Linked DNA regions of Drosophila melanogaster. The protein of the gene in region 1 interacts with the protein of each later gene in a pairwise test. Each region holds a gene or a part of one and is shown on either strand. Other genes may lie near its edges. The genes, in order: Rab6 and Evi5.

Evidence for each region.
Region 2: the proteins of Rab6 (region 1) and Evi5 interact in a two-hybrid assay, tested with the Drosophila melanogaster proteins (2 studies listed by BioGRID).

Annotation. Positions count from the first base shown.
Region 1 is NT_033779.5:12,101,936-12,117,867, forward strand, and holds Rab6 (Rab6), read right to left. Parts: upstream 7,182-15,932; 5' UTR 6,865-7,181; coding exon 6,238-6,864; 3' UTR 5,286-6,237; downstream 1-5,285. Other genes in the region: patsas, read right to left, coding at 1-1,125; ThrRS (Threonyl-tRNA synthetase), read left to right, coding at 1,960-2,121, 2,557-2,617, 2,753-3,186, 3,241-4,827; Phae1 (phaedra 1), read left to right, coding at 7,708-8,520; Phae2 (phaedra 2), read left to right, coding at 9,213-10,010. UniProt on the Drosophila melanogaster protein: Protein transport. Regulator of membrane traffic from the Golgi apparatus towards the endoplasmic reticulum (ER). Mediates membrane trafficking during egg chamber growth and organization, possibly upstream of exocyst component Sec5.
Region 2 is NC_004354.4:11,444,244-11,460,842, forward strand, and holds the start of Evi5 (ecotropic viral integration site 5), read right to left. Parts: upstream 10,096-16,599; 5' UTR 9,553-10,095; intron 1,770-9,552; exon of another isoform or gene 1,316-1,769; coding exon of another isoform or gene 1-1,315. Other genes in the region: Sk1 (sphingosine kinase 1), read left to right, coding at 1-1,315; HP5 (heterochromatin protein 5), read left to right, coding at 10,834-10,948, 11,039-12,244, 12,412-13,521, 13,987-14,069; CG43155 (uncharacterized protein), read left to right, coding at 15,639-15,881. UniProt on the Drosophila melanogaster protein: Functions as a GTPase-activating protein (GAP). During border cell migration in the ovary, acts as a GAP for Rab11 and is necessary for the maintenance of active receptor tyrosine kinases at the leading edge.

The DNA.
Region 1 (15,932 bases):
TATAAAGCAATAGTGCGAGCGTCTCAATATGTTCCACGTAATGGGAATCGCACGGATCATGTACATGGGATAGCCCCAAAGTAGCACAGAGAAGAGAAATAGAAACAGCGGTCCCTTGGAGTCTCCAGCTCCGCCAAAGAGCCAGCCCCAACTTTCCGAGACTGAGGGAATCCAACGGGACTTCTTCTTCACCTCGCCGTACAGCAGGCGCACCACATCCTGGTGCTGATGAGCCTGTGCCAACATGATCGGCGTCTTTCCATTCTTGTCCCTCGGTTCCAGATCCAGCTGGGACTTCTCGCACAGCAGGCGAACGCACGTCATGTTACCAGACAGGCAAGCCAGATGCAGTGGAGTCGATCCAAAGTTGTCCGTCTTTTGAAGCTCAACGCCGGAATACATGAGGAGTCGCATAAGATCGGCATGTCCCTTGTACGCTGCCCAGTGGAGTGCCGTATCGCCGTTTATGTCAGTTAGGTTGTTCAGCGCTCCCATTCCAAGAAGATAGGCCGCCGTTGCAGTACGGCCGTACATGCAGGCGAGATGGAGGGGTGTAAGTCCCTTGAAGTCCGCCGCATTGACGGCAACTCCAGCCTGGAGGAGGACCTGCACCACGGACGCATGACCCTTCCTGCACGCCCAGTGAATGGGCCGTGGACCCTGCGTACCCAAACAGGGCAGATCGATCGGAGCCGTGCGTTCGATGAGGTATCGCATCAGCTGGACATTGCCGTTGAGAGCTATCCAGTGGGCTGGCGTGTAGCCATGACGATCCCTGGCCGACAGACACTCCATGCCGAACTTGTCCACGAGATTCTCCACCTCGCTGACCTCTCCGTTCTTGATAATATCGAAGATGTCGTCCAAACTCACGGTGGTGGCACCATCGAGCCCCTCAAAGAGGAGCACATTTTCGTGGTCCTCGACGCCGCTACTGCCGTGTCCACCGTCCGTGCCGCGACCCGTTAATGGCGGCGAATGCGGTCGATGATCCAAATGGATGTCGTCGGCGTGGGCATGGCCATCCTCCTCCGCGACGACCATGTTGCAGGAGGAGGAGGCGGTTAGGGGCAACGCCCACACACTGCGCGCCGCCCCCGGACTTGGATGCACCTTCGAGGCCATGTAGAACTCGAAGTCCACGCCCAGACGGTCCGCCGTTCCACCGTTGCCTTGATGCAGGGGGTTTTCCAGTAGGTGTGCAATCTTGTCGCCTTTTTCCGTTACGCTCCGACCGAAATTTGTACTCTGTTTGGCCAATCTTAGGCGTGGAATGCTAGGTAAACACGACTGCACTCGATGGCGAGGAAATTATGTCAGCACTGTGAGAAAATCAATATTTGTCCCGAATCGCAGGACTCGAATTGGGGCCACTTTCGAACTCGACTTGGCGCCAAACAAATCAACAGCTGACCGTTATTTTCGCAGTTGGGCGCGCAGTGTTGCCAACACATACTGGTAATTAAGACTTTTCTCAGCGAGGGGTGATTTAAGATTTAAGTCAAGAAGTATTAAAGAAAAAATATATATATTTAATTTGTTGGAAGGTCAATTGTTGAAACCGAGGTATCATTTAGCTTAACTTAAATATACTAGAAATCTCGTGGCATAAGCAAACTAAAAAAAAAAGGTTTATCAACTGACTTTTATATTAGTTTTAACATTATTGGGAAACATTTGTTTTCCGCCGCTAGAAACCTTTAAAATGTATACTACTATATTGCTTGGTACGAATGTTGCATTTTGAACTGATGCTAGCATTGCATTTTGTAAGGTTCCCATGTCTCTGTTATTTTGCCACCTGGTAACACTGTGCCCCTTTTTGATAAATTTGTTTCGTAAAAAATGGGCGACAACGTGGTGACGGAACTAAATAACTTGGATTTGAACAATCAAAAGGCATGTTAAACTCTTTTCGAACTGCATTCGAGTGTATGAGAAGTGCTAGTTAGCCGAATTATGTTGAAGTTGGCGCCGCAGGGCGGCAGATATTATAGCCAAATAAGCCGCATTTGCCAGTGGATTTTGCCGAAAATTCAGACGCAGTCGAAGCCACCAAAACAACAACAACAACAGCAACCACAATTGAAAGAACAACAACAACACAGCTACGCAACTTTGGTTGGTGTTTTAAGCTAAAAAGAATTGACCTAAACTTCAATTTAAACGCCTGTTACTGCTGGCACGTGTAAATGTTATGCTTGTCTGTGTGAGTGTATGCGATTCTCCAATGAATCAGTGCCGCCGGCTGTGACGTCACTAACAACCAACCAACTTCATGAGTGTCTGTTTTTTTTTGCTACTCTATTGCATCAGCCATAAAACGACGAAGATACGCTCAAAGACGGCTCGATAAAACAGAGATAGGAGCACCGAAAACATAGCACCGAAAAGTGCTCATTGCCATGTCCCCAATTGTTTAAACAATAAGAAAACATCAGTCGAAAGTAGATACCGAAAAAGAGCATTTGTCTAATTGCATACGTAGCACACTTGTGGCCACTTGAATATCTCCGGTTTATATTGATTTTTAACCTATTTCCGATGGATTTGCAGGCTGCCAAGATGAAGAAGGAGAAAAAGGAGAAGCCATCCGGCGGTGGAGATACTCGCAAGGGTAAGTAATTCTAACTAAGAATTAAAAACACAAAACGCACTTCCGTCTGTAAGATATGTAGCATATCTTTAAGATTAGCTGCCTTCTTCTCTCTAATACCTGAAATTCCACTGATCTCTGCTATATTGATTTCAGAACTCAGTCCCTTGCCCAAGTACATCGAGGAGCGCAATGTCTTCTGGGAGAAGTGCAAGGCGGAATACGAGGCCGAACTGGCGGCCAAGAAGCGTGAGCCCATCAAGGTGACACTGCCCGATGGCAAGCAGGTGGACGCCACCTCCTGGGAGACCACTCCGTACGAAGTGGCCCGCGGCATTAGTCAGGGTCTCGCTGACAACACCGTCATCTCCAAGGTGAACGGCGAGGTGTGGGATTTGGACCGTGTGCTCGAGGGAAACTGCACCCTGCAGCTTCTCAAGTTCGACGACCCTGAGGCGCAGGCCGTCTTCTGGCACAGCTCTGCCCACATCATGGGTGAGGCCATGGAGCGCATCTATGGTGGACACCTGTGCTACGGTCCGCCCATTGAAAACGGCTTCTACTACGACATGCATCTGGAGGGCGAGGGTGTAAGTAATTTGTGATGTTCAGTAAGAATTAAATTAAATTGAACGCCCAATTAGATCTCCACCAACGACTACGGCGCCATGGAGGGTCTGGTTAAGCAAATTGTCAAGGAGAAGCAGAACTTCGAACGTCTGGAGATGAAGAAGTCCGACCTGCTGGAGATGTTCAAATACAATGAGTTCAAGGTGCGCATTCTCAACGAGAAGGTGACCACCGACCGCACCACTGTCTACAAGTGCGGTTCTTTGATCGATCTCTGCCGCGGACCTCATGTTCGTCACACCGGCAAGGTGAAGGCCCTGAAGATCACCAAGAACTCCTCTACCTACTGGGAGGGTAAGGCTGACGCTGAGACACTGCAACGCGTCTACGGCATCTCGTTCCCCGACCCGAAGCAGCTCAAGGAGTGGGAGAAACTTCAGGAGGAGGCGGCTAAGCGTGATCACCGCAAAATCGGTCGCGAGCAGGAGCTGTTCTTCTTCCATGAACTTTCGCCTGGCTCATGCTTTTTCCAGCCGCGAGGAGCGCACATCTACAACACCCTGATGGGCTTCATCAAGGCGGAATATAGAAAGCGTGGTTTCCAAGAAGTCATTTCCCCCAACATCTACAACGCTAAGTTGTGGATGACCTCCGGCCACTGGCAGCACTATGCCGAGAACATGTTCTCCTTCGAGGCCGAGAAGGAGAAGTTCGCCCTCAAGCCCATGAATTGTCCAGGACATTGTCTCATCTTCGATAACCGCAATCGATCCTGGCGAGAGCTGCCACTGCGAATGGCCGACTTCGGTGTGCTTCATCGCAACGAGCTCTCCGGTGCTTTAACCGGATTAACTCGCGTGCGTCGCTTCCAGCAGGACGATGCGCACATCTTCTGTGCCCCCGAGCAGATTAAAAGCGAAATGAAGGGCTGCCTGGAGTTCCTGAAGTATGTGTATACCATTTTCGGATTCTCCTTCCAGCTGGTGCTGTCCACACGCCCGGATAATTACCTTGGCGAGTTGGAACAGTGGAATGATGCGGAAAAGGCGCTGGCTGAATCACTCAACGAGTTTGGAATGCCGTGGAAGGAGAACCCCGGCGATGGCGCCTTCTACGGACCGAAGATTGATATTACCATTATGGATGCACTGAAGCGTGCCCATCAGTGCGCCACCATCCAGTTGGACTTCCAGCTGCCAATTCGTTTTAATCTCAGCTACATCGCCGACGATGGCGAGAAGAAGAGGCCGGTGATCATCCATCGCGCTATTCTTGGCTCAGTGGAGCGGATGATTGCCATTCTCACGGAGAACTTTGCTGGCAAGTGGCCCTTCTGGCTATCACCGCGCCAGGTGATGGTCGTTCCAGTGGGTCCTGCCTATGATCAGTACGCCCAGTCAGTGCGGGATCAGTTGCACGATGCTGGATTCATGAGCGAGGCGGATTGCGATGCCGGCGACACGATGAACAAGAAGATACGCAATGCTCAGTTGGCCCAGTTCAACTTCATTCTGGTGGTGGGCGACAAGGAGCGCTCCTCGAATACCGTTAACGTGCGCACTCGGGACAACAAGGTGCACGGCGAGGTCTCCGTGGCGGAACTCATCACAAAGCTGCAAAAGATTCGCGACGAATTCATCGCCAACGAGGACAGCTTCTAAGACTCTATTTCGAACTATTTATCAAAAGTATACTTAACATTTGCATAGCAAAGCAAGTACGCATTTTTGTTCTTTCTATGTATTTACGCTTACGAAACCGGAATTCACAAATAAAAAACCAAATCCAAACACATTTTAAGGTGTTTCAAATAGAAGAGAAGAGCATGCAATCAAATAAAAGCAATTCGATTCAATATACGATTATTAAGCTTCCCCAACTAAAAATCGTATTTTTCTGATCCACCTTAAGCCGCCTATTTCACTCCAGTTTCTTGACGAATCAGTGGAATTTGTCAGCAATTGAGGACTAGTCATGCCGACACAGAGGTGCGCTGTAGTCCATTCAGGAACGATTTGGAATGATAAGATAAGTCGGCCCACATTTGGCGGAAAACTTTTTGGGAAAGGTGTGCGTGCACCCACAACGTATGAGTCATGTTTTGAATTTATTTTTTTGTATTAATTTATTGCTAGTATCTTGTATACTTTTCATTTTCATAATTTGATTTATTAAAAATTGCATCAATAGTTTATGTTTTTATTCAATTATCAATTTTGTAAGCTTTTGCTTTTCGCGTAAAAAATGCACAAAGTTCTCTCGCTAATCGAAGCAAAAATCGTTAATAATATTGTTAAGTGTTTGCTCTGCTCGTGCTCTGCTTATCTGTTTCAGTTTTAGTCATAAAAATACATATTTTATATTTGTGTATATTTATTCATAAGATGCACGTGGCCAAGTCCTATGCCATCCACAGTTCCAGTTAGCAGTCGCGTTCGCTGTGCTAAAAAAAAAACCGAAATCCTAACCAAAACTGGCGAAACAAAAGCCGCAAACAGAACAGAACGGGGGCTAAAATTGGAAACAAAATGCCTGGCTGGTGGAATCATTGAACACAGACTGGCTGCGTGGTATCTACGACTGCTGGAGATGCCGAGAGCTGGAATGTCGGAGGATCCTGGGACCGCCTGGCCTGACATAAGTACATGGTCTTGGGTTTTTTTTCGTTTAGAGGGTTTAGGGGGTATCGGAAATGCACTACACTATATTCTTGTCTGGTAGCTAACTCGCAAATATTACTCTGATCTTGATCCCTGATCTCGTGTCAATGAGTTAGCATTCGCACTCGCCTGCGCTCGGGATTAGCTCGTCAATTAACAGTAATTAGTTAGCCGATTTCGTTAATTGTTGTTTAGTCTATTTGCCTTTGCTATCATTTGTTACTTTATAAATAAACTTAAACGTAAAGTGTGTATGTGTGTATAGATGTTGAGGAATCCGCCGCAGATCCGGCCAGTACATACACCTGACACCTGTGTACACCAGTGCTGCTGGCCGATCTCCTGCATCTGCATCTGCTCCTGCTGTTGAAAAAGGGGGAGAGGATGGTTGGATCGTCGGCTCAACCGGTTCTAGCAGGCGCAGCCGCCCTCGGGATCCTTTGTCTCGTTGGGTGAGTCCTTTAGCACAACCTCCTGCATGTCCTCGGAGGGCTTGTTCTCCGTGGAATCCATGCCGGGCAGTGCCGCGGCCACCCGTCGGAACAATTGCTTCACATTGTAGCCGGCCTTGGCGCTTGTCTCGATGAACATCACGTTAAGCTCCTTCGCCTTGCGCTCACCCTCCTCGGTGGACACCTGACGCTTGTCGGAGAGATCCGTCTTGTTGCCCACCAGCATGATGATGACGTCGCTACCCCGCTCCGTGCGCACGTCATCGATCCACTTGGAGGTCTGGTGGAACGAGTTGGTGTTGGTGATATCGTAAACGACCACTGCCACCGTGGAGTCGCGTATGTACGAGGGTATCAGCGAGCGGAATCGCTCCTGTCCCGCCGTATCCCACAGCTGCAGGCGCACAGTGCGATCCTCCAGGTACATGGTCTTCGATAGGAAATCAATTCCGATCGTCGCCTGGTACGTGTTGTCGAAGCTGTCGTACATGAAGCGCGTAATCAGCGAGGTCTTGCCCACACTCTGCTCGCCGAGGAAGACGAGCTTGAACTTCCGCAGCGGATTGCCAAAATCTCCGGATGACATCTTCCTCAACGTACGTGTCTACTTTTTCTTAATTACGGGTTTGCTGAACTCTCTTCTCGCTCCGCTCCGCTCTCACCAATCTCCACCCCTCCTCACTGTTTATAATGGGGCTGGGCCAGCGGTTTTCGGGGCCCTTTCGCACTGCGATTTCTCGGGATGCACCGCTTTCAAGTTGCCGCACTCTATTACACACGCTCTAAATGCTTTCCGTCTGGCTAAAGACTCAATTGCGGCTCGAATGGCTTGGTAAATCGCTAGGTTGAGTCGTGGAAAAATTACGGTCTCTGCTTCTTCTTCTTTAACTTCTGAGTCAGTTGCTGTGTGACCAGAGTGGCAATCAAAAGCAATTTCTCTGCCACGCTATCGATAAACGCATATTTGTACTAAATCGATGTTTTATGATTTAAAAAAAAATCGATTGATATTCGTTACCGTTATTAAATAATTTTAACTAAAATTTACCTGCTTAAAATGTTTAAATACTGATGAAGTACAAGGTAATTGCTTAACTTTTTATTTCATATTAAAAAGTGAATACTAAGTGTAAGAAATACTAACAGGTGATAACGCGATTTTCAAATATAAAGCTCTCTAAAGTGATTTGCTTGTTTTTAGATAAACGAGCGTAGGTATTTGCCCATCCTATCGGTGGAACTTGACGTACTTCTGTCAAAGAGTCACTGTTCGGGCGTCGCTTAATCTCAAATTATAATAAGTGGTTATCTGAAGAACACACGGTCCTTAATTGAAAGCCTTATCTGCTGGCGCTGGCAAAATTTTGGAATGGCGAATTAATTTAAACGTGCCGCGATAAAGGTCGATGTAAACAGTTCCGCGAAAACTATGTTAGCGAACGGACAGCAAACAAAGTCGTTGGCCAGTGGGCTTCTTCTCCTACTGGGCATATGCCGAATATCCGGAGTGGCTATCGGCGCACCCGAGGGGCGTGTCGTGGGTGGATCTCCGGCAGCGGTGAATAGTGCTCCCTATGCGGTGTCCATGCAGTACGGTGGCACCCATTACTGTGCCGCCAGCATTCTGAATGCCAACTGGCTAGTCACCGCTGCCCACTGCCTGACCAATAGTAACCAGGTGCTGGGCAGCACCTTGGTGGCCGGAAGCATCGCGGTGGACGGAACTGCAAGCACTACGCAGACGCGGAGCATCACGTACTTCGTGATCAATGACTTGTACACCGGCGGAACTGTGCCCTATGACATCGGAATGATCTACACGCCCACCGCCTTCGTTTGGAGCGCCGCCGTTGCCCCAGTGACGCTACCATCCTCGGGAGTGGTGCCCACTGGCACCGCCAATCTGTACGGATGGGGCAGCACTAGCACCACGAATACCGCCTCCTATCCGTCGACCCTGCAGGTGGCCACCAATGTGCCTATCATTTCGCTGAGCTCCTGCGAAAGCGCCCTGGGCACCAAGGGCAGCGATGTCCACTCGACCAATCTGTGCACTGGTCCTCTAACTGGCGGCGTTAGCATTTGCACCTCGGATTCGGGCGGACCACTGGTCCAGGGCAATGTCCTTATTGGCATCGTGTCCTGGGGCAAGTTACCTTGTGGTCAGGCCAACTCACCGTCGGTTTACGTGCAGGTCTCGTCGTTTATATCGTGGATATCGGCTAACCAGCAGGTGTCCTAAATAGTCGAGTTTTTCCCTATTTTTTCAATAAAAGCAATCAAATGTGTGTCCCTAGTGGCGGTCACTTAAATGTGGGACTTTCCTTCGCATCACAGCTACTATATCAAACAACGAGCTGTTTTTTAAAGTTTATCTTATCTCGTAAAGAGAGAGGAACACGGTGAGCAACCAACGAACAGATTTATATGCTTCACATATTTTCGGGCTGTAAATAACAATTTCTTACATTGCACAATAACAGAATAACGAACCGAATCATTGTGAAATATGTGAGTTAAGTAAATAATGTTGAGACTATGGTTTCAAAATCTAAACATTTCTTACCAGAACTAACCTTTTTAACAATGGTCTTATAGATATTATATTTATAATATTTTCCTTATCAATGGACGGGGATCCCCTCGAAAATACAGAATGACAAACTTGAGATATTGCCCTCAACACCCTTTTGCATCTATTCTCATTGTTGACTGAGTCTATCATAACAAGAGAGAAATATATATATATAAAATCGTATAATCTTAAGTTATAATAGGCTCTTATCTGAAAGACAAGGGCTCTGATTGAAAGTTCTTATCATATTCTCGGTTGGCTCGCATGAAATTTTTTATCACGAATTAATTTAAAAAGCCGTCGATAGTGCCAATGTAAACAGTTCTGTGAAAACCATGATTGCGAATGGACAACAAACCATGTGGCGCCATCGCCACCTGGCCACTATCCTCCTGCTGGCGGTGTGCGTTTCCCAAGGATCTGGATTAGCCTTGGACCAACCCGAAGGACGCGTTGTGGGTGGAAAAGCGGCGGCGGCCAATAGTGCTCCGTATATAGTGTCCATGCAGTACGGAGGAACTCACTATTGCGCCGCTAACATCATTAATTCCAACTGGCTGGTAACGGCTGCTCACTGCCTGGCCAATAGGAATCAAGTACTTGGAAGCACCCTGGTGGCTGGAAGCATTGCGGTGGCCGGAACAGCGAGCACAACACAGAAGAGGCAAATCACCCACTATGTGATCAATGATCTTTATACCGGCGGAACTGTGCCCTATGACATCGGATTGATTTACACGCCCACCGCCTTCACTTGGACCGCTGCAGTGGCTCCGGTGAAGCTGCCATCGTCCGGCGTGAGGCCAACTGGAAAGGCTGACCTCTTTGGCTGGGGCAGTACTAGCAAAACGAATAGCCCCTCATATCCGAAAACCCTCCAGGAGGCGAAGAACATACCCATCATAAGCCTCGACTCCTGCGCTGCGGCACTTGGCTCTAAGGGTCAGGATGTGCACACCACGAACCTGTGCACAGGTCCTCTCACCGGCGGCACCAGCTTTTGCACCTCGGACTCCGGTGGTCCGCTGGTCCAGGGAAACGTTCTAATCGGCATCGTGTCTTGGGGAAAACTTCCATGTGGTCAGCCCAACTCTCCGTCGGTGTATGTCCAGGTCTCCTCGTTCATAACATGGATAGCAGCCAACCAAAAGAAATGAATTCTGGAGTATAAGATAGTATCTGAATAAAGAAATACTTATGAGATTGCAGTATCACGTGCTTATTATAAATGACAACTTTTAGAGTCTTTAAAATCATGCATTAATTGATTGTAATGTATCTTTGAAAGAACTTAAAAGCATTTATATACATTTTGTTATATGTCGAATTATCTTATCTAATAAATAAATAGAGCTAGTTTAAGAAGATGGTAACCAATGTATATATATATTTTATAACAAAGTAAATCAGATAAGACTATAAATGTTTTAGATATCCAACTTATATGTGAACCCAATTTTAACTAGATAAAGCTTTCCAAGAAGTAGCAAAAATAAAGATATAAAAATAAGCTTTATCTTTTCTTTTGTTATAAAAAACTGAATATAAACCAAAAAAGGGTAATGTCAACAAGATGTTATCTTTACCAAGAAATATCCGGATTAACTTTCCATTTTTCTATTGCACAACTATTCTGAGCACTATACTCCCCAGGGAACTTAGCACTTGGAATGAGTTTTGCTTTTGAATCCGTCTCACTTTTGGTGTCAGCACGTCCAGATTTCATTTCATCCCAGACACTCCTCTTCAATCGCTGTTTTTATCAATCATATTGATCGGAATGTTCTTATTGGGAAACTAATTGCTCGGTAAGTTGCTGGACACGATCGCAATCAGTTTATTGACACGACCAGTACATAATTGAATGGACATATCAATTTCCCATCACAATCACACCAGCAAAGCTTATTAAGTGCCTCCAAAAGAGCTTCGCAAGCAAGGCGGCCAAGAGCGCGGAACGTGGCCCAAAGAACGATGGCCAGAACACGCCCGCAGCTAATCAGGCTCTAATGGCGATAAATATTTCATTCTATATTATTCTGTTTCCATTCCCCCAACCAAACACGCCTCCAAGTCCCAGTCAAGCTGCCTGGCCAAGGAGTCAAGACAAAGCGACGACTCAACGGGAATGGACAGGGGAGTCCACCAGAACAGACCCACCGACGGACCCCCGCCTCCATCAGACGGACAAAATCTCCGACGCGATCGATGAAGACAAGGCTGATAAAGGAGTCACCATGCGGGAACCAGAGATGCCGCAGTGAGTCCACCCGAATTTCGAAAAAGTGGAAGTTGCATTTCTTATAGAGAGTAATCAATTGCGATCATTTGCAGCATATTATGAAGAACAAGTTTTAAAACTCAAAAAATTTGTTTAGTATAAGTTTAAAAAGAGTTTTTAGTTTATAAAAGTGAATACAAACTTATGTTGCATTCACGATGTCATCTCCGTTCTGAACAAAAGAAATTCATCTGAGCAAAGTTGAGGCAAGGCCAGATCACTGTGCTTCCTTCGCAATCTTTGTGTTATGAATCGAACAGATTTATGCAACCTGGCGAACAACATGGGCGGCTGCTCCTCCGTCGCCAGTCTCCAGATCCCTGCTCCCTCAATCGTTTGCTGCGTTCCTCCGCCGACGAGGATGAGGATGAGGATGCGACCGCGACATTTGGCTGCGCCATTATGAGTAATGGAGTAATGCCTGGAATTATTTACTTGGGGGCTTTATTGGCGTCGGCATTTGGCATCGGAATGAATGTCTGTGCTTTATGGTCTTTTGTGTATATACACACGCAAGTATATATTATTATATTTTTTCATGTCGGGATTCTGCGGTCGGAAAGACTGCGAATGGTTTTATAATTGGTAAAGGGAAGAACGGATTATTGAAATGAGTTAGATATGATTGGGCCATAAATAAGAGGTATAGATTGCATTGTTGATTCAAATAAAGTGACTAATGTGTTTGAAAAAATAGTAAATAGTGTAAAATATACAAAATATGTGTGAACAAATAAATTCTTGTCTTAACAAATAATATTCATATTTGCATTATGCTAGGTATAATTTTGTGTACATGAAGTTGAAAGTAAAGCCCCGCAAAAGTTACACCATTATTTTAATCACATGTCACGGACAATTATGTGTGGTGTCAATGAAGGCAGCTTGTCACTTTCTAGTTCATTCAACTCTTTAAATAAACTATTGAAGGTTTTTATTTTTCAAAAAAATAGCCCGTCCGAACTTTTATCTTTGCAATCGTTCCGCGAACTTTGGCCAATCTTATGGACAAAATCTAAAGCGAAATCTAATTTTTAATTGGCCAACAAACTGCGGACAAGCGACATTTCATGCTTATCGGCAGTACAACCAGCAATTAATCTCCCTTCGGTGGAATGGAGAAGACTCTCTTAGCAGATGCTCTCTTTCTCTCGAGAGAATATATCTCTTTCGCTGCAGCTTTCGAACGAGAATCTTTGGCGCGCTCGAACAGAAAAAGAATTCAGTATGCAGACAACTTTCTTCCGAATGCTTTTCTTAAAAGCAACTCGAACTTGTTGCTGAGCCTCAGTTTGAAAACAGCACGCGACGCGTTCAGAACGAGAAAACCATACGCGCAAGGTGGATATAAAAATAATAATAAAAAAAAAACACAATAAATGACTCTTCTTCGAAGACTCAAAGACTAGAAGACACTTCTTGTGGTCAACGATGATCGAACCCTTGAGTGGCAGTGGTGAAGTGCAAGCATAAGCAAACAAACAAATCAATAATAAACTAAGCTGTGGAGTTATATTCAATGCTTTTTTGTTTTTGTGCCCCACAGTTAGAGTGGATATAGGAAAACCTCAGACTGGACAGGTATGTGAACTTGCGGAAAACTCCAGGAATGCATCATTGGGAATTCTTGGTTCGTTCTTGGGGTCGTTGTTGCGGTTCTTTGTGGCCTCGCCGCCAGCTCTTTCCACACTTTGGGCATGCTAAAATTTAATAAGTGTTTTCCTCAAACCGTTTTTCCTGTCGCCTCTTTTTCACGCTTTTTTTTTCTACGTAGCTGTTCTTGTTGTTCAATTCTGTGATGCATTACCGTAGGGGGGGGGGGTGTGGTATATGCAGTTGGCACGTCCCTCTTTGCCGCCACCAACTTGGCAAATTCTTGCGGCACATTTCATTTATCTGTTTCGCTCCCGCTGCCAAAAGCATTTTCCGCGTCGTGTCGTGTTAACGGTATTGTTTACATGGTTAATAGAACCCACCGACTTGGTGGCCAGATAAATAAATACTAGTAGACACACACAAAAACCTACAGCCGGAGCCAAAAGACCATGCTTCAGTGCACTCGTTCTTGCGGCCGCAGAGACAAAAGCAAAATCACACACAATCGAAAGACTCAGGCAACGAACTGACTCCACAGGCAACGATTCCTGTGTGTTGATCTAGGTGTAATGAGTGCGGTAAAACAACATATACATTTTAATTCGTTTCTTGGAAGACTCTAATAATATTATCAAAGATTTCTGCACTTCTTTGCGTATTTATCAAAGCGTAAAGAGAACATGAAAATTCATATTTTATTCAATACAAACGAAAGACTGAGGCAACGAACTTTCTGGTAATAAAAAGTAAATGGTGTATTTATTTAATTGAATTAGAAATGAAATTCCCAACTGTATAATGTTAATCAAGTTATTCCGATTCCCAGCAAATCTATGCTAATTAAATAATGCTTACCAGCTTGCGCAGACCAATTAAAGAAATAGTCGATGACAGTAAAAGAAGCAGCCACCAAATTGCTTATTTATTAGCCAAAAGAAAAGAAAATATCTGGAAACGGCATGCTAATGATGTAAACTAAGCATTTAACTGTTAAGATGCCAGCAGCGGCAGGCAAACATAAAAAGTCGCATCACTGGGGCACACTGTGAGAAAAGCGGGGAGGTTCAATTGGGGCAAGACGAACCCAAGGTAACGCCGACAAAAAAAAAACTTAGGCGACTTCCTAAGACAAATCAAAGCCGTTACAATGGTCGCACAGCCGCAAAAAACGCACTCGGAATTGGAAAACCGGGGAAACCAGAAGGGAGAAGACCGAGAGTGTGGAGATCAAGGGAGAGAATGTAGGTTGCACTGGCTTTAATTACACTGCACAAAAAAGGAGGGTCAACAAATAAAAGATAAATATAACTTAGAAAAAAATCACCGTCGTACAAGTTTTGGGCAAAGTTTGTCCATCCTAAAATGGGAATATAAAATAAGATATTATTATTATTTATTAAATGTAATACTTAGTAAAATAAATCTATCTTTCGGCTTAATACAAATAAATCTTTCAAAATACATTACGTAAGAAAAAATGTGGATTTCTAAGATCTACCTTGTCATTATTATATACTCGTCTTTGTTTCCTGTGTATAAATGTTCAGAGTAATCTTTTGCTACTCAGATACTGACTGTGATGTTGTTCTTACTTTTTTGTTTAAGAAATTACCGTTTTATGTTGACAAAAAGAAGCAAGAAGAAGCAGCTGCGCTAGAAGAAGGAGAACTGGCTTAAGGTTGAGCTGGGAGTTTGAGTTTGTGTTTGGCTTCTGTGTGATTACAGTACCGCTCCTAATGATCATCATTAGATAGCCAAGGGTTTTTTTCTCTTCCATCCAGCTGCTGCGCCGATTCTACTGCTTCTTCTTGCCACTTCTTGGAGCTTGACGTGACGACATGCAATCGCAAAGAAGGTAGAAAGAAGAAGCTATAAGAAGCGGTAGAACAACACCAATAATATTTGATAATGCAAAGCGGAAGCTATAAAACTCGTGTGTAAGACGACATTTTACGTTAGACGGCCATTAAGGCGAGCCAAAAGAGAATTTGCTAATTGCCTGCAATTGAAAATGTTAGTGAAAGAACTCAGGGAGCTAAAGGAAATCTACGAGCTTGGGTACGAAGACGGGAAGAAAGCTTCATTAGGCTATATAATAATGTCTTTAACTGGAAGTCGAAATACACGACAATTATATGGTGCATAAATGACCTATATTCTATGTAAGTCTCAACTTTGAGAAACTGAAGAAAATTTTAAAAATGTTTGTCAAAAATCGTAGAATAATAAATTCATTTTATTCACTTACGCAATTAGTTGTAAAAAATAATAATCTTACCAGAAATTTGTAGAGCCTAGTCGAGTTAATGAGCTTACAAAGCCACTTGATATCTTTAAGGTATCAAAAGAACTTCCTGACTGCCCTTTGGTCATCTCGATAATCTGACCAAAGTGTGGTGTGCCACAAATTCGATTATCAGGGCCGGGAGCTGAGCTTCGACCGCCATCTCAAGGTCGAAAAAAAAAGTATCTTGTATCTGGTATCTGGTATCTAAACTCTCCTTTCAAGTGGAGCGCTGTAGTCCAGCCCACAGTTAGCGCGGCCACATTAGCAACATCTGATATGCCGAATAGCACTGGGCACTTAAGGAGAGGCCCCATTACCCGGCCAAGAACAACAAAAGCTGGCCCGCACGTAATCTGATATTGCAACGGTGAGGCAAGCAGCTGAAAAAGAGTGCACGTATAAAGAAGGCAGCGAAAAAGCAAAAACCAAACCAAACTTAGCCTGGCCATATGAGGAGAATCTCTTTCTTTTGTGTCGCCACTATCCGAATAACATCAGCGAAATACACGGAAAATAAGCAGACTTATGGAAATTAGATATACCTACCCCTATAAAAGGGTGTTGCTGGTCCATATATGAGGTTTATATTATGCAAAATATGGGCTTCGTAATTAATCTATTAGATTGTTGTTTATGTAACCAAACATTTTAGTACCTAGCTTATATATAAATGTATTTTATTTGGACACTTAGGTGTCATTTTTCCCATAGATATTAATACAATTTAATGGGGAGATATAAATTTCCTTTTTATGACCTTTGTTCTATGCTTCAATAAAACGTAAACCCATGTGCTTCCTTGACTTCTGTCGGCACATTTTTTGTAACGCATTGTCAGATTAATTGCCACAGGAGGAGGAATTTTAAAAGCCATCTATTCCCTGCTAATTAACTTCGGACTCCTCACGGCGACGT
Region 2 (16,599 bases), on another chromosome or scaffold:
GCGTGAGCTCTTCCAGAAACAGGTGGCACCTTTGCTGACGGAAGCAGAGGTGCAATACGATCTCCAGATCACCACACATCCGCAGTATGCCAAGGAGTTCGTGCGGACCAGAAGGGATCTGCTGACACGCTATTCGGGCATTGTGGTTGCCTCCGGCGATGGTCTATTCTACGAAGTGCTCAATGGGCTAATGGAACGCATGGATTGGCGCCGAGCCTGCAGGGAGCTACCGCTTGGCATTATACCATGTGGTTCCGGGAATGGTCTGGCCAAAAGTGTGGCCCATCATTGCAATGAACCGTACGAACCGAAGCCCATTCTCCACGCCACCTTGACCTGCATGGCGGGCAAAAGTACACCCATGGATGTGGTCAGAGTGGAGCTGGCGACGCGGGACAAGCACTTTGTGATGTACTCCTTCCTGTCGGTGGGCTGGGGTCTGATAGCCGACATCGATATAGAGAGCGAGCGATTGAGATCGATTGGAGCGCAAAGGTTTACGCTGTGGGCCATCAAGCGATTGATCGGGCTGCGCAGCTACAAAGGCCGAGTGTCCTATCTACTGGGCAAGGGCAAGAAGGAACCACCAGTGGAAGCGGCTCGAGAGTTGCCTGCAGAATCAACGGCTGCAGGAATCCGCTCATCTCTGCCTCTGAATGCCGGGGAATTCCATGATCTACCCGAGGAGGAGGAGGGGGAGGCGGTCTTGGATGGAGAACAGTTCGCCGATGCCATATCTTTGGATCGTTCGGTTTACCGCCAGCATGCCGACAGTTGGCACTCGGCCATGTCCAGGCGAACGGCATATTACTCCCTGGGCGGACCCAGTATGCGATCCAATCGCAGCCGGATGAGCATTAGCCAGCGGATCGAGGCAGCAAATGCGGAATTCGCTGAGAGGGTGCCAACGGGCACCATTCCACCATTACAGATGCCACTGCTCAGCAGCGATGGTTGGATCTGCGAGGATGGTGACTTTGTGATGGTCCATGCCGCCTATACCACCCATCTCTCCTCCGATGTCTTCTTTGCGCCCGAATCCCGTCTGGACGATGGCCTCATCTACCTGGTGATCATCCGGAGAGGCGTTAGTCGCCATCAGCTGCTCAATTTCATGCTGAACCTAAACGCAGGCACCCATCTGCCCATCGGCGAGGATCCGTTCATCAAGGTGGTGCCTTGTCGGGCATTCCGCATCGAGCCGAGCAGCTCCGATGGCATCCTGGTGGTGGACGGCGAGCGGGTGGAATATGGACCCATTCAGGCGGAGGTTATGCCCGGCCTGATCAATGTGATGACCACCAGTGGGCAGTAGTGAAATATTAAATCCGTGTGCTTTGCAAAGCCTTAATCATAACGAGATACATTCGAAGAATGTCAACATTCAATAGCTACTTTAGATCAAACTTAGTTTATAAGAAGTTGCCTTTCCAATTAATAACCCTTACTAAATTCATAACTTTTTTATATCTGCTAGGAACTTTTTCCAAAGTTTACGCATTTTGACATTATTAGGTGGTAAAGTTCACAAAATTTCTATTATCTCTGTTTCTATTGTTAGTGAAAACCCATTCTCATGGCTCTGAAACGCAATCTGTAATTTTTCCATCAGCCCATCAAAAAAAAAAAAGGAACTTCACACTATGCACTTAAGTAGTTGGTTATAAGTTGTTTTCTATTATTTTTTTTTTTTTTAATCGGTCGATAGTGTTAATTATTTTAAGAACCATACGTAGACAAATAATAAACCAAAATGCTATAAAAAATGTAGAAAAAGATTGTGCGGGTACAAGGGCTACTAGTATTTTGCAGGTGTTTTGTTGCCTTGGAAACGATTGATTGATTCTATTGCATATTTAGTTTTGCAAATTCACAAATACAAAAAAAAAAACGCGGGAATTCGCCGCTCATCCGGTTGCATGACGATCTTTATCGATATTGGACCCCAAAGTTTGGGCCTGCGAAAGCACCAACACGAAGGCAAATGGAAACGCACCTGGTCGAAGTTCAAGTGGGGACTTCATACAAACACCGATTGGCCAGATTAACCCTGACTGAATGGGAAAAAAAGCAAGGGATTATGGTTACCCAACCAACCGAATGGAAAATTAACACCTAGTAACCGTGTGTAACACTAAAGGTCAAGTTGGTTAAGTTGTGTCGATGATATAACGCTAATCATAGCGTTATTCATAGATATGCAGTTACCTAATTAATCAAGCTATACAATAAAACACCATCATTAAATATTAACCATTTGATATAGAAATTCTATGAAAAATATGCTCATGAGAAGACAAAACTTTCTTTTTGTCAATTGGAAAACACAAAGTGTGATAGAAGTGACCCATTTTTCCCAATACAGTGTAATTAAACAGCCTTTCCTTTTCTCTTCTATCGCATACATCAGGTGGGATTATCTTTGACAGGCACTCAAACAAGTTGGGCAAATAAACCCCCTTTGATATAAATGACATTCGAAAATGGTAATAAACTGGAAGATAGACCAAAGACCAAACGAACTCGAACTGGTGTCACACATTCAGAGCGGTTTCTTCATTGATATTTGGCTCAAAAGCGCTTATGTAGACAAGTCTACTGCGGATACACTGATAACAAGTTTAGCTCTTATCATTCACATACACATACAAGCGTTAAACGGTTTGAAATACTAAAACAAACTTGAGGTATACTTTTAGGCCATGCTAGTTACTGTTTTTGATTTGTTATTTGTTATTAAATGTGGGACACAGTCAAAGGCTTTGACGTCACAGAGACACGAGCAATTTAACCCGATTTCCGATCAATGAAAATCAATAGGTATGTGTGTTGATTTACGCTCATTCAAACTAGTCATACTTTTAGGCGGTACAATTTTTGTGACAGTGCGACATGGCCATAATGAAACCTACAAGTTTACCTACATATACTTACACAGAAATGTAATGGAACCGTAAATTACGAATAGTACCCTTCGATATATGATTCTATCTGCTGTATATTCAAGCGGTGTGCTTTGCGGGAGACCACTGTACCACTAGCATGTATATTTTTGTGCTGAATTGGCAATCCAGTGACATTATTTCACTGCCACTATCAATCCAACGCAAAGATAATTGCGACAGCAACAACAAAACGAGCGAAAATAATGCCGAGCAGACAAGTGTACATACATACATATGTACATCCACATGTATAGGCGGAATGAATAACGATAACTAATTGTAGTCACAGTCTGTTAACAGATGTTTACATTACGCTGGCGGCAATACAAAAAGTAGCCTCTGGACATCAATTAATGGATCTTAAATTAGACAGAAGAAGCAAACCATAAGTTTCAGCTTTTCAGCTTAAACGTCAGAGGACACAACATATAGTTTGTGCATATATACATATACATACATATATTTCTAGCATGGTCTGTGAGTTGGGCCCCTTAATTATTAACGCCCACTGTGGGTTCTAAGACCTCTCAAGTTTCTACAGCCTTAAGCTTGAGTGCAGGCAAAATGTATATATGTATATATACGTATAAATACATATTAATATACCAGCACATAGAGTTAAGAGTGAAGAGTGAAGTAGCATGTGTGTGCTGGCAGATATTTCTGCACTATTTCCAGTCTAATTCATTCATAAAAAGTTCTTCACATTTCGCTTTTTTTTTTACTTCAGCTTCTTGGCTTGAAGTCGCTGGCTTCGTTGGCTTTTATGAGAATCGTTAGTTCCGAGCCGACTCATGGTTTTGGCATTATAAATATATGCATTATACATACATACATATATGCACGACCGTTAGAATCGTCGGCAGCCCGCAGATGGAAAAGGCAAACAAAGAGTATAAAAAACACCATCACAATTTCTGATTCGATTCGATTCGCGGGGTATTTCAAACCAATCGCTCGCTTTGTCGCAGGTAAGTTTTTTTTTTTTCTTCAGCCAGATTATTTGTGACTCATGGCATTTGGGATGTAAATTAGGTATTTCCAAAACTTGTTTTGCTTTACCCTTTCACTATCGATTTGTAAAATATCTGTTTTTAAATTGTGTTTCGTATTCCCTTGCTTTTACTTTTACCCATGGAAATTTCGTTTAGACTCAAAAAACATTTATTAGAAAGAATATTTAACTATCAATAAATCTTATATGAAATAATAATTCAGAAAAGAAATTTAGAAATTGTATCAGATTTGATTGTACATCCAATTTGGAAAGTTTGTTTTCCAAAGTAGAGCATTGAATATTCGCAAATTATAATAATAACTTTTGTGCCAGCCTCATGGCAGTGTTATTTTATTTTATCTCCGCGGTTTACTCAAATTATACATCTGTTGCGACCGCAGTCACATCTGCTCCACATCTTTTGCCGACAGCCTGTCGTGCGTATGACCCATTTGAATGGACTCCACTGTACCGGGGCGGCGATTAGTCAGAAACCTGATGGTGAATGCTTTAGCTAATTTTTTGTCCGTCTCTTTTTTTTTACTCTTGCCACTTTCGAACAAATCACAATTTGCTTATTTCGTGTTTTTATTTAACTTTGTTTTTGTTTTGTTTGGCTTTTTGTGTGTGATTTTGTTGCTGTTTTTTTGCCGGACATTAATGAATAATACATGGGTGACCGGGGCGATAGCATTTAGCGAAGTTCATTTGTTGTCTTGCTAATTTGCGCACGCACACACGCCGCATTTGCATTTGCATTTGCATCTGCAATATGCATTTGCATCTTTTAATGCAACGAGTCACGCCCCCAAGCCATAGAGTACCACTCGGCACACTCGCGGCAATGGCTATAAGGCACATATGTATATAAACAGCCAGTGCGCTGATAAGCCTATTAGCACATCATAGCTTGGTTGGCTTAGAAACTCATTCATTCCATATAGGTTTGAAATATGAAAGTGTAGATTTTTATTCAAGTTAGACGACTTTAAGCAAATTGAGTGCAACTAGTATCACAAAATTTCTCAAAGGATATGTTGGATGTAAGCCCATGGGATGGCAGCAAATCCTAATCATACGTCTGGCCCGTATAAGAATGTTTCCTAATATCACAGCAAGTTGTTGTGCTTCGCTTGCTGTCCCCAATGTAATTTAAGCCCAATCATCAAAAATTCAAGAGTGCCACGCCCACGCAATCACACGCCCAAACCACCGCCCACTTGTGTGTACATACATATAGATACAGATACGGATACGGGGATACAGATACAGATACAGATACACAACACCGATACATATAGAACCAAGCCCTGAGTTGGCCAACTCTCATTAACCCAATTTGAATTGTTGACTCGCTGGCTATCTCGCTCCCACCCACGCCAATCGAGCCCTTGGCAATGGTGTGACGTCAGTCACAGTAAACACTCGATAATGGAAGCTGCTTAAATTATTCACATACTTTTACCGTCAAATAGTTGAAACATGGGTTTGAAAAATTCTCTTACTTTGAAACAATGTTAGCTTAAAAGGCAAAGCTATGGTTTCACTTAAGGAGCGTTCACTGTCTCTGGGTGGCAATTACAAAATGCATTTACCTGTCTGCTTGCCACAATTAGTGGAAATGCCAATGTGGCAATGTATATACATAATACCCAAGTGTCGCCCCAACTCGAACTCAATTTTCCATCCATCGCCACGAATTCTAAACAAGTGAAAAACAAGTGCAACAGTGGAACTGATAGGGCGTAGTTACCCATTAAAAACCAGAAGCAGGAAGGGCGAAATAGAAGCCACAGGGGGGGTGTACGAGGCCCAGACGATAAGAATTCGACGATTTCTTCAATCAGTCAAAAGACGCACTCCGCTCGAGCACAATTCAAGATTTGAGAACAATGAAACTTTATCGCGCAAATGACATTTACAGCTGCAGTCAAAAAAATGGGTTAGTTTGATACTTTTATAATATATACTTATACTTATACCTTATATACTTTTATAATAACTGAATTAATGGTAAGTTTGCAAGTGAAATACATTTAAATATTGATAGTTTACAGTTAATTTATTAGTTGTTTTGTACTATTAGCAAATCGAACTATTTCAACAACTTTTGTAGTGCATTTGAGTGGATTGAAAGGGGCGGCACGATGAAATAAAGTCTAGCAAACGGAAAATATGAAAAAAGGGGAAAAGGCAGCGGACAAATGGAATTATGAAATACAATTCCCCTGAGTTTTTTTTGGCCAGCCCCAGCCAACTTCCAAACTCATTAACATAATTCATTCAGCACATGATGCTGTATGCTACTAGTTACACTTGAAAAAAAAAACAGCTGGGATAACGCAGAGTAATATGGCAAATCTAGAAAGTATTTTGTTATTGTAGCTGTTTTTTTTTCATTTCAGTACTTAATGAGATGATCACGAAAAGCAATGACCTTTTAACTTAATCATTTCAATTAGCAATCAATTTAAATGTCAAGTTCAATTCCAAAAGGGATTGTTACAACACGATTCGAAATAATACATCTCCATTTACAGTGTACTCGTACAATTGTTGTTTCAGTTGCCATTGGCTAAAATAAGTTCCCAGTAGTAGCATTCACAAGTGCTTCAATAAAAAGTGTTTTCAGCGCAATATTCGAGCCGTTTTGGATTTCAACAGCCACAAGAAACCGAATTCGAAACCGAGACTGAAATTGAAATTGAAATCGAAATGGAAATGGAAATGGAAACAGACGAAACTCCTTCAGTTTCCAGCAATAATAAATAGCAAAAACGATATGTGTCTGCAATTGCTGTTGAATGACTGAGTGAAAAAAATATAGGGAGCGGCAAACAAAAACAAAAAAATCAGGAAAGAAAACTGGCTGGCTGAAGAAAACAACAAACAAACCGACATTGTTGGCCAAACTGTAAAATCATTGCTTGAAATCTGGAATTTGGCCAAACTCACAGTGGCTATTGGCTAACAGAAGCAAAGGGAAGAATATCATTGTAAATACGAAAAGTACACAAATTATTACAATAAACAATATTTCTGGTTCAGCTGTTACAAAAAATAAAGTATCGTAATTATTTCGCAGTTATCGGGCATTCACTGTGCCCCGAAATACCAGCACGTCTGCATTGGAGATTGGCACACATATCGGTATCGCCACTACCGCTTCTGTTGTTACCTGCTTTTCTATGCTTTGGGGCAGGTAAATCAGGTAAGCCTCCAGTTGGCCAAGTGGCCATAATAGCTTGGCCACGACTGTGTGGATGCTGGATGCCCCAGCCCCATTGTTGTTATTTTCGATATTTCTTGGCGAAACATACATACATATCGGTTTTATGTTGTGGAAGCTATTGCCTCTGATTTTACATAACGGCACTTTTTGCCTCGCCAGAAAGGGACGGCTAACAAAAGGTAGCTGCGCAATCGCAAGAGACGGCATGAGGTTGTCAAACTTTTTTCGAAAACAAATTTCAGAGGAAGTAACGAAATGCCAATAAAGTAAAGCCACGCTACATAGATACTTTTCGTTGAGCCCCACAAAGAAAGGTGGCAGCTCGATCATGAACTTGACTCCAATAGTTAGTATTCGCTTAAACAAGTAATTACATATATATTTTATAATTTAAAATGCACTTAAAATGTTAACAAAATCGCATTTATTTCGGAGTCTTTTTTTGCACAGTGATCACTGTAATTTCACAGTTGGCTTACTTAATTTGCGTTTAGTTTGGTTGCGCGAAAACGTGTTGGCAAGCGCTTGGTATGATCCGTTAAAAAATATGTATACATACATAAATACAAAATAAACGCCGATAGGGAAACAGACTCAAGTGCAAATTATTTTTGACATATATTTTTTGCGGCTTTGCGGCGAAGGTCGAAAGCTCGCGCGATCGAAATGGGCAACATAATAAGCAGCAACAAACAACCGCCAAAATATCATAAAACAATGCAAATAATGAAACATGGCGAAAACACTTGAGCAGATAGTTGAAAAACCCGCTAAACGCAAAAAGAATTCCGTTTGAAATAACCCAAAAAAAGTATCTTGACTTTTGTTATTTATCTTTTTTTTATATATGTATATGTTTTTTTTTTGTTGGCCAGAGAAGGCAGAATGAAGGCTATCCTGCCCCAACCTTCTCCAGATAATGACGGATGATACACCAACACACCCACGAGCTCTGCAAATTTATGATCATAATTAACATGACGATGACTTTCTGCTCTATGTGCTCCACTAGTTTTAATGCTCGTGATTTAAATAAATAGCACAACTGAAATTTGAATAAGCACGCAACAATCCCCACGCACAAAAAAAAAAAAACAAAAACAAAAGACTTGAGTGCGATGGGTCGGGTACAGCAGAGGTCAAAGGACTATGGCTGCATTTCCAAAGCAAAGTAAAGTATAAAGTAACTGAGCACTTGTCTGCCTTTGGGCATCTTTAAGATCTCGATATAATTTAGCAGAAAGCCCTCAGTTGCACGTATATGTAATCTACATACGGATACAAAGCTTATCACGACCGGCAGATAAACAAGAGTTCAGCAATCTTTTAGCTAGTTTCGACGAAATTCGCTGCAGCCAGTTTGTTTTTAATGCAATGAAAGCGTTAAATTAACTGTATTCATATTAAACAAACAACAATGAAGCTTAATAAGCTAGCAATTTACTATTTTTAATGCTAGTTTTTTCACCCCCACTGTTCGTTGCGTCTACGTAGGCCATGTGCAAGGTGGCAACGCTGCTTGCAAGGTGTCGCCGAGTTGGCAATGCGCAGGCGCAGAGCGGGCTAGAGCGAGATGGAGAGATGCACAGTGAAAATTGGAGAACAAGATTAGATGTTATTTTTAAATATTACTAAGCCATTGGTCGTAATTAATGGTTTACAGAAGAGTGGACGTAGAGTCATTATTCTTCGATTTCCATTTCCATTTTATAACTGGCAAATAGTTTTTCCCTCCCTCGATTGCTGAATTTTCCCACTGTGCGTTGGGCCCACGAAAAGTGGGTGGAAAGCAAAGGAAAGGAGAGCAAGACAAGGTTACAACAGAGCAGGAACAACAACAACAACTAGTGGCAGGAGCAGCTGATGCGGTGGGAGTGGAAGAGCAAAGCGAATTGGGAAAGAGGAATTGGGAAAGGGAAGCGGGCAATGGGAAATGAGCAATGGGAATGGCAATAGGAATGGAAATGGAAAAGGAAGTAAGAGCAGGGCTGCCCTGTTGTCATTGTTGTTGTTGTTGCTCAGCGAAGCTGCAAAGAACGATGATGAACGATGATGAATGATGATGGACAATGAGCGATGAACAATGGACAATGGACGCTTTTAATTACATTAATGCGCGAAATTTAAGCATACAAAATTAGTTGTACCCGATTTTCTTTTGCTGCTTCGCTAATTTGTAAAAAAAAAAAGGTAGCAACAGACACACACACGCGAGCATAAACCCACACAGACAGCGAAAGAAAGTTTCTGTATTTTTTCCCACTCCACTTTTTTCGTTGATAATGTTTACACACACACATTGAGTTTTTTTACGGAAGAAGTAAAGATGATGAAGAAGAACGACACATAAAATATAAATAAAGATGCTGGAACCTCACCTTTGCTGCTGCTTCTTCGGCCACTGTAAATGAACCGTTAGGCTGGAACAGGGGGTGGTGGTGGTTGCGTTAGTGCGCTGCTGCTGTTGTTGTTGCTGTTGCGGCAGCAACAAATTGCCGTTGTTTATCGTTTTTTTTTTATCCGCGTTTCGTTTTCAATCAGCTAGACTTTTCCACATTCGACGAACTCAATATGTCGCGATCAACTCGTATCCGATCGAGAATCGTTTGCATTAACTTTATAATACACGATTATTTTGACGACACTACCGAACTTTTTGCTGCTGTAAACGTCACACAAACACACACACACACACACGCACAGGCAATTGCACACACCTCAGCAGCAGCAATTTTTTCTCTCGCCCTCTCTCCCTATGCTGTTCTGTATGACTTTATTTTTATTTAAATACTAGTACTTTTTTTAAAAGGACTACTTTAATTCAATCACTCGTTATACATCGACCGAATATTGCACTGGAAAAAAATACAGCGTTCGTTCGACGACGGTGAATTCACGAATGTTTTTTTTCGCCCACTGGCGGTGTGACCGTCGCGCAAAAGCTGAAGTAAGCCGCTAAATAAGTATTACCATATACTAAAATTCTCTGAAGCGCAGATAGCTGATAACCGATAGAAAAGTTTCTACTGCATTATCGATTATTTGAATAATACCAAAAATACCAATGATAGCTGTTTAGCACAGACTCAAACCTGTACAGTGGGCTGCAAGTGCTGTTATTACATGTTTGTAAATGATTTTGAAACATTCAACCATATGAGATAAGTATGAATCTTAATGGAGTTATGTTGCTCAGAGTAATAAGTTGTTGTTCAGCATTCCATTGATGAAAAGTGTCCATAAGATCTTTGTCGTTTAATGATAGGAAATAGGCTATTTGTTGATAAATTTAAAATACATTTTGTGGTTAATGATTGTTGGCGACATAAATAACCCATAAAAATGCGCCGAGGCGGTGAAATATTTTCGCGGTATCTGCGCACGGGCACACCAGCTAGATGGCGTCTTTAGGAGTGTGTAAAATTAATCAGGAAAGTTACCTGAATGCAAACGCGATTTTAAAAGTCGCATCTGCTGATTAAGTGGGCAAATCGAGTGCTCCTCGCGCCACAATTAGTCCGTGGTACAGTGGCCTCACTAATTGCGCAAAACACACATCTGTAAGCGCATATTAACCGTATATTTTAAAGCGGTAAATCTGCGCTCTTTGCTAATTTTCATTTTCGTGGGAAAATCGCAAAGGGCTGAAACCTGCGATAATGGATATTTTTGATATGGTCAAAGCGGCGCCGCCGCCGCAAACTATTAATCCGGTGGACACCAAGCTCTCCACTCCGTCGCCCATACCGCCCGATTCGCCAATCGACGTAAATGGTAAATTGAGCATAATTTTGTTTGCCTGCAAATTGGCTGGCAATCCTAGAAGTTTAATAACCTCCAATCGTTTTTTCCATTTTCTGTCAGACCTCCTGGAGAGTGGAAACCAATTGGACGAGAATGACTTGCGCATGTCGAGAAAATCAAAGAATGTCGAACAGTGCAGCATTGATCTGTTTGATTCGGAAACATCATTCGACCATCTCGACGAGTCATTGGCCAAGAGGAAGCGTAAGAGCGTGGCTAACTCAAAACCAAACAAAAGCAGGAAATCCACTGTCTCTGCATCGACGCCGCACAACAAGAGGCCAAAAGTGTCCATTGACGACGACGGCGAGGCCATCGAGGAGGACCAGCAATCGATGGTGGTCGTTCCCACCAAGACGAAGGCTCAGCAAAAGATGTTCAGCGATCAGCAGTCGCCGAATGTTAAAAGAAAGGTGCGGGTGCTATTACGTCGCCTGAAACAGACAGAAATCGATTCGGCCGTCGAATCTTTGGCCAATTCATCATTTATCAATGTGCCCGAGATCGTTAACCAGAGCGGTACTAGTGGCCGTAGCAGGCACAAAAAGAGAAAAACGTCACCTAAGAAACAAAAGTCATCAACAGCGCAGACCAATTTCCACATCAAAGTTCCTTTGCAGAATGGCGCCAAAAAGCGTGCTCTGAACCACTCGTTGCGCGCTCATACACCGCCGCCCAGTTTGGCCAAGAGTTCTGAAAGCACACACTCCGCACTGAAGCGAAGTCCCAAGCCCAAGATCAAGGCGAAGAGATTATCCAGTCGCGGACGCAACACCGATCCGGATTTGGTTAAGCGTTATGGCGCGCATTTCTTTGGCTGTGTGGTGAAGGTGAGGAGGACGCGTTTACCAAGTGCCAAGTGGCCTGACTGCAAACCGCCTCCCATTGGCGACGGAGTTGTCAGGAAGGTGTATCCCAAGAAGGCGGTATCCTTCAGCGAGGCCGTCGAGATTCTGGGCAGCCCCGGGGGTCCATCACGTCGGTCTACTTTCGGTTCGCTTTCATCGAGAGGAGCTCCGAAACCGACACGACTGCAGCGTGTGGATGCCACTGGCAATGTGCTGGAGGACATAGCACTGACCTCCACGCCGCTCTTCTCGTCATCTTCTGGAGGCTCGCGCGAGCGGGTTAGGCGCCGCTCATGCAACGGTACGCCTGTGGTCGGAAGGCTCAAGTTACGCAGGTTGGGCCGCCTAAGCATAGACAACAGCTCCTCCAGGTCTGATGGAGGTGGAGATAATGATGATGACGATGAGGAGTATATAGGTAGGAGGATGCACTTATTAAACTGACATCAAACTCGATGTAATCGCATTAATCATGTCTCATTTTGTATTAAATGATTTCGTTATTTTTATGACAGGATTTGACCAAATCAAATTAAAGAAGAATTGAGCTAAAACTAATGCAATTCTCTCCATTTTTACGTCCAGTGCCCAACGATGTGCCGGGGTCCCAGAGATCTGGAACGCCTCCGCCCAAGAAAAAGAAGATATCCTTCACCACGACCATCAGTGATGATGAGGACGAAAAGCCGGTACTAAAAAAGCAGAAGGATGCACAAAAAAAGCAGCCAAAACCCCTAAAAGAAAGATCAAACAAAAAGACGGACAAGATGCTAAACGAAAAGGAGACGACTGACAAAATGCAAACGAAAAAGGAGAAAAAAACGGAAAACTCACCAGTTGTGGAAATTGAATCCTCCGATCCTGATGTCGAAATCAAACCACCAGTGAAGGAAATCGAAACGAATGAGCGAGAGGGAGACGCACACGAAACTGAGACAAATGAAGTAGAAAGAGATAGAGAAGAACAATTTGTGGATGCAACAGAGAAAAATACAGATGAGGCGAAGGAAAAAAAAGTAGTAAAAGATATGCCAGAGTTAAAAGAGGCTGACAATTCGGAGGAAAAATCGGAAGATGCTCGAGAAGAAGTTTTGCTAGACGAGGACGAGAAAAATCTGGAGGAAAATGCAGCTGAAATCAGCGATAACGCCGTCAAATCTTTAGAAAAACCAACGAACGAAGACAGGGTTGAGAAAGTAGAGGACGAGGTCGAGCATGCCGAGGAGTTCAGTGACTTGCCGACCCCACCACAGCTCCCGTCCACAACTGACGATAACGAAGATGACGTGCTGGAGATCCAGACGTCGTTGGACGATGTCCGTCAATTGCATACGCCATCATCCCGCCAGAGTACGCCCAAATCGCGCAGTCGCCTCGATTCCGGTGACTCCGATTGCAGCTTTAAGTCCGCCAGCGATAACGCCAAGCTGCTAGCTGGACAAGCCATTGAGGAAACAGAGCAGAAAGCAAGCAAAGCGCCGAACGATGACGAGGATCAACAAACAGCAGCAACCATCATCGGTGATCCCATCGATTCACCCGAACTGCCGGCCGAGCTTATGACCCCGCCCTCGGCGCCCAGGACAGTGAATGGTGAACCCACCAGCGAATCCAGATCAACGGCAACGACATACTACTCGCCCATGGAGGATCCCATGGCCACGCTAGATGACGTCATCATGGACCAGCTATCCGGTGAGTGCCAGACGATCGCCTCCATCGCAAGGCAATCTCAAATAATAGCATGAATACTTAGGGAGTACAAGTGGGGACTGTTAAGTCTTCAAGACAGTAAAGTACGTCATTTTCTACTTTAATTCTTGCCAAGTAGTCTCGCTTTTCACGAAACTTCTCTATTTTGTGAGGCCAAAAACTCTTACGTTAAAGCTCTAGTGACACTTGGTCATTGGTCAAGCATTCCATTGATTGATTTAATGAACATTCGCCCGTTGCGTACATTTGTCATTAAAACAACTACTTAATAGGCATTTTTTGTACTTTCTCTGGTCTTCTCTAAGTCTGGGTATCTTAATTAAGTGTAAGTGTATAGGCAATGCACAATTTCCAGTTGCAATTTGAACTTGCTTATATTTCATACTTTCGTAAATGTTAATTTGAATGCACCTTCTAATAACTATTTGCTCTGCTTATGCCTTTTAGAACCCAACTTTCAGTTGAACTCCAGCCGCCATGCCATCTCGAGGGGTACACTGGACGAAATAATGACCGCGTTAGAATCGTAGTAAGCTGGCAAATTGCGCACCAAGTACAGATAGACAGATACAGATCGAAACCGAAGCATACACACAGACACAGACATAGCTACAAACTCACACGCACACACGTAGGTTTATTAAGGACCGATTAATTTGTACATTTAACTGAATTTATAATTAGTTCTCCCTACGATCAAGAAGTAGTCTTACGTTTATTTTTAAAGACATATTCAATTTATATGCAAACTCACGTTGAAAATACCAAAGTATTTTTGCAAGAGAAAGCTATTGGTGCAAACGTTAATATTTTGCACTTATATGATTGCTAAATTAGTCAGCAAAACAGGGACAAAATTTAACACAGCTCACTCACTCAACTTGCAAATGTGTGCGATAGACCGTAAAAATTAATATTTTAATATTATTAACGGTTAAGCGGAATCAGAAAATCAATTTTCAATGTTTAAGCTACTTAAACAGAGCGTTACGTTAGTTTGACTTTCAAGAATACGTATTGTTCGTTTCTCATCCTTTTTTTTTTTGACAACTTAGATTTAAGAAACACTTGCGTTCATGCACATATATAAATATAAATATATATATTTAAGTATGGATCGTCTTAAATGTACTGTAAGTTCAATGTATTAATGTACATCATCATCATAAAATGTATGTATGTAAAAAGAAAACAGATTAAAAATGGATAAAATATGTTGCCAGTTTTCAATGGGATTGGCTGAGAAACTTTTTCGAAATTTGCCGCCATTTGAAGATGTTGCCACATTCGAACATTGACGTTGCCATATTGTGAAAAGTCTTGTACCGTTTATTTTAAGCTATGTAAAAATGATGTTATTTTTATTACCTAACATGTTTTTTTTTTCACAGAATATTCTACAGTTAATTTATACAGATTGAATAAATTTAATGTGCTAGAAAGAGATTTTTTTGTGACTAATTTGAATAGATAAATGGAAAGATGTTATCTTGCTTTATGAACAACACACACTTAACTTTCTGATATATTTATCAATCACAGGATAACTTAAGCTCGTTTTTATTAATGTTCTATTATATAATTAATATAATAAAATGTTTCTATACACAAGCAACCATCGCTCAGCGTTTCCGTTCTTATATATTCTTATTATAATAAGTATTATTTCGAATTTATGCAACGATTTTACGTTCGTTCAGTTTCGCGGCCAACGTTGCCACATGTTGCCACACGCTTGCCCCCAAAGGTGGCCACCTTTCATGCAGAGCCCCGCGTATCCAATGCAGCGCCAAAAGCAAAACAGTCGCAACTTTGACTTGTTGACGGTTGGTTCTCCTCGGGATTCTGGGGCCGCGTCAAAATTCCAGATCGTTTGGCGCGAGTGCGAACTATTTCAAAAGTTGCCCCTTTGCGTGAGACGTGCCCCCGAAATGTTGAACTCACAGGACCAAAGCGGGCCGGGCCCCTGAAAACCAAAAAGAAAATAAAGAAAGAAATTAAATAGATATAAACAAAAGAAAGAAAAAAACACACTATTAAATGATAGCACAAGTAATTTAGGCATAGGCCGGCCAAAACAATCAGAAACGGAGTGCAGAATGCCCATGAAGAAGGTGACGGTGAAGGAGTACGATTCGCAGGATGAGGCCAGCACCGAGCTGCTGGAGAAGCTCAAGCATCTCGACCGTCGTGTGGATGCCGCCGAGGGTGGTGGCTTGGCCAAGGGAACCGCCGGCGGACGAAGGAGCACCGCCTGCTGGCAGTCGATGAAGTGGAAGTCGGCGCTCAATCACATCGGACTGCTCGTCTCCCTGTCCATTTACTGCGGCGTGGGCGGATTGGTAAGCGATGGTGGGGGGCAACGTGTGTGCCCAGTTCGGTGCCCAGCAGACCCGAACATAACTAGGCAAATATTTAATTATTTTCAATATGTTTTTATTTATTTATTTTTGTTTTTCCATCCCCCCCTACCTTTGGCTCGCCTTTTGCGGCTGCCGCGAACATGCAAAATGATTTGTGTTGTTGGGCGAAAAGCCGAAAAATGGCTAGCGTTCAAATTGTTTGGAGCAAGAAAGAAATGCAAAACACACATAAATACAGTGGCCAATCGAGCAGGGGATTTAACTTGGCCTAAAAAGAAAATATTTAATATCCCTCTAATGCATTTTTAAGCCAACAAATTTAAGTCACTATATCCTTCCTTCAAATAAATGTTGCATATATAAAAAATTATGAATCCAACGATCGTGCACTGTACCAATGCGATTAAAAACAATAACCCAAACAGAGCGCAAATTTATTGCAGTGGGAAATAGTAAAAATTAGACCAAAATTAAGTCATAAAACTATTTTGTACATTTAAGTGCCCCGCCTCCCCTAATTGCCACTGCACACATATATCGCCACATATCCAGACGCCCAAATCTGTCTGGCTGGCGGAGCAGGAGGCAGTGCATCATGTGGACCACGTCCAGGCCTTTTTGGCCTTGTCTAAACATTTACATTTTCGCCAATGACGTCGTGGTTTCAGCTCTTGGCCAAGTTCTAGATACATATATA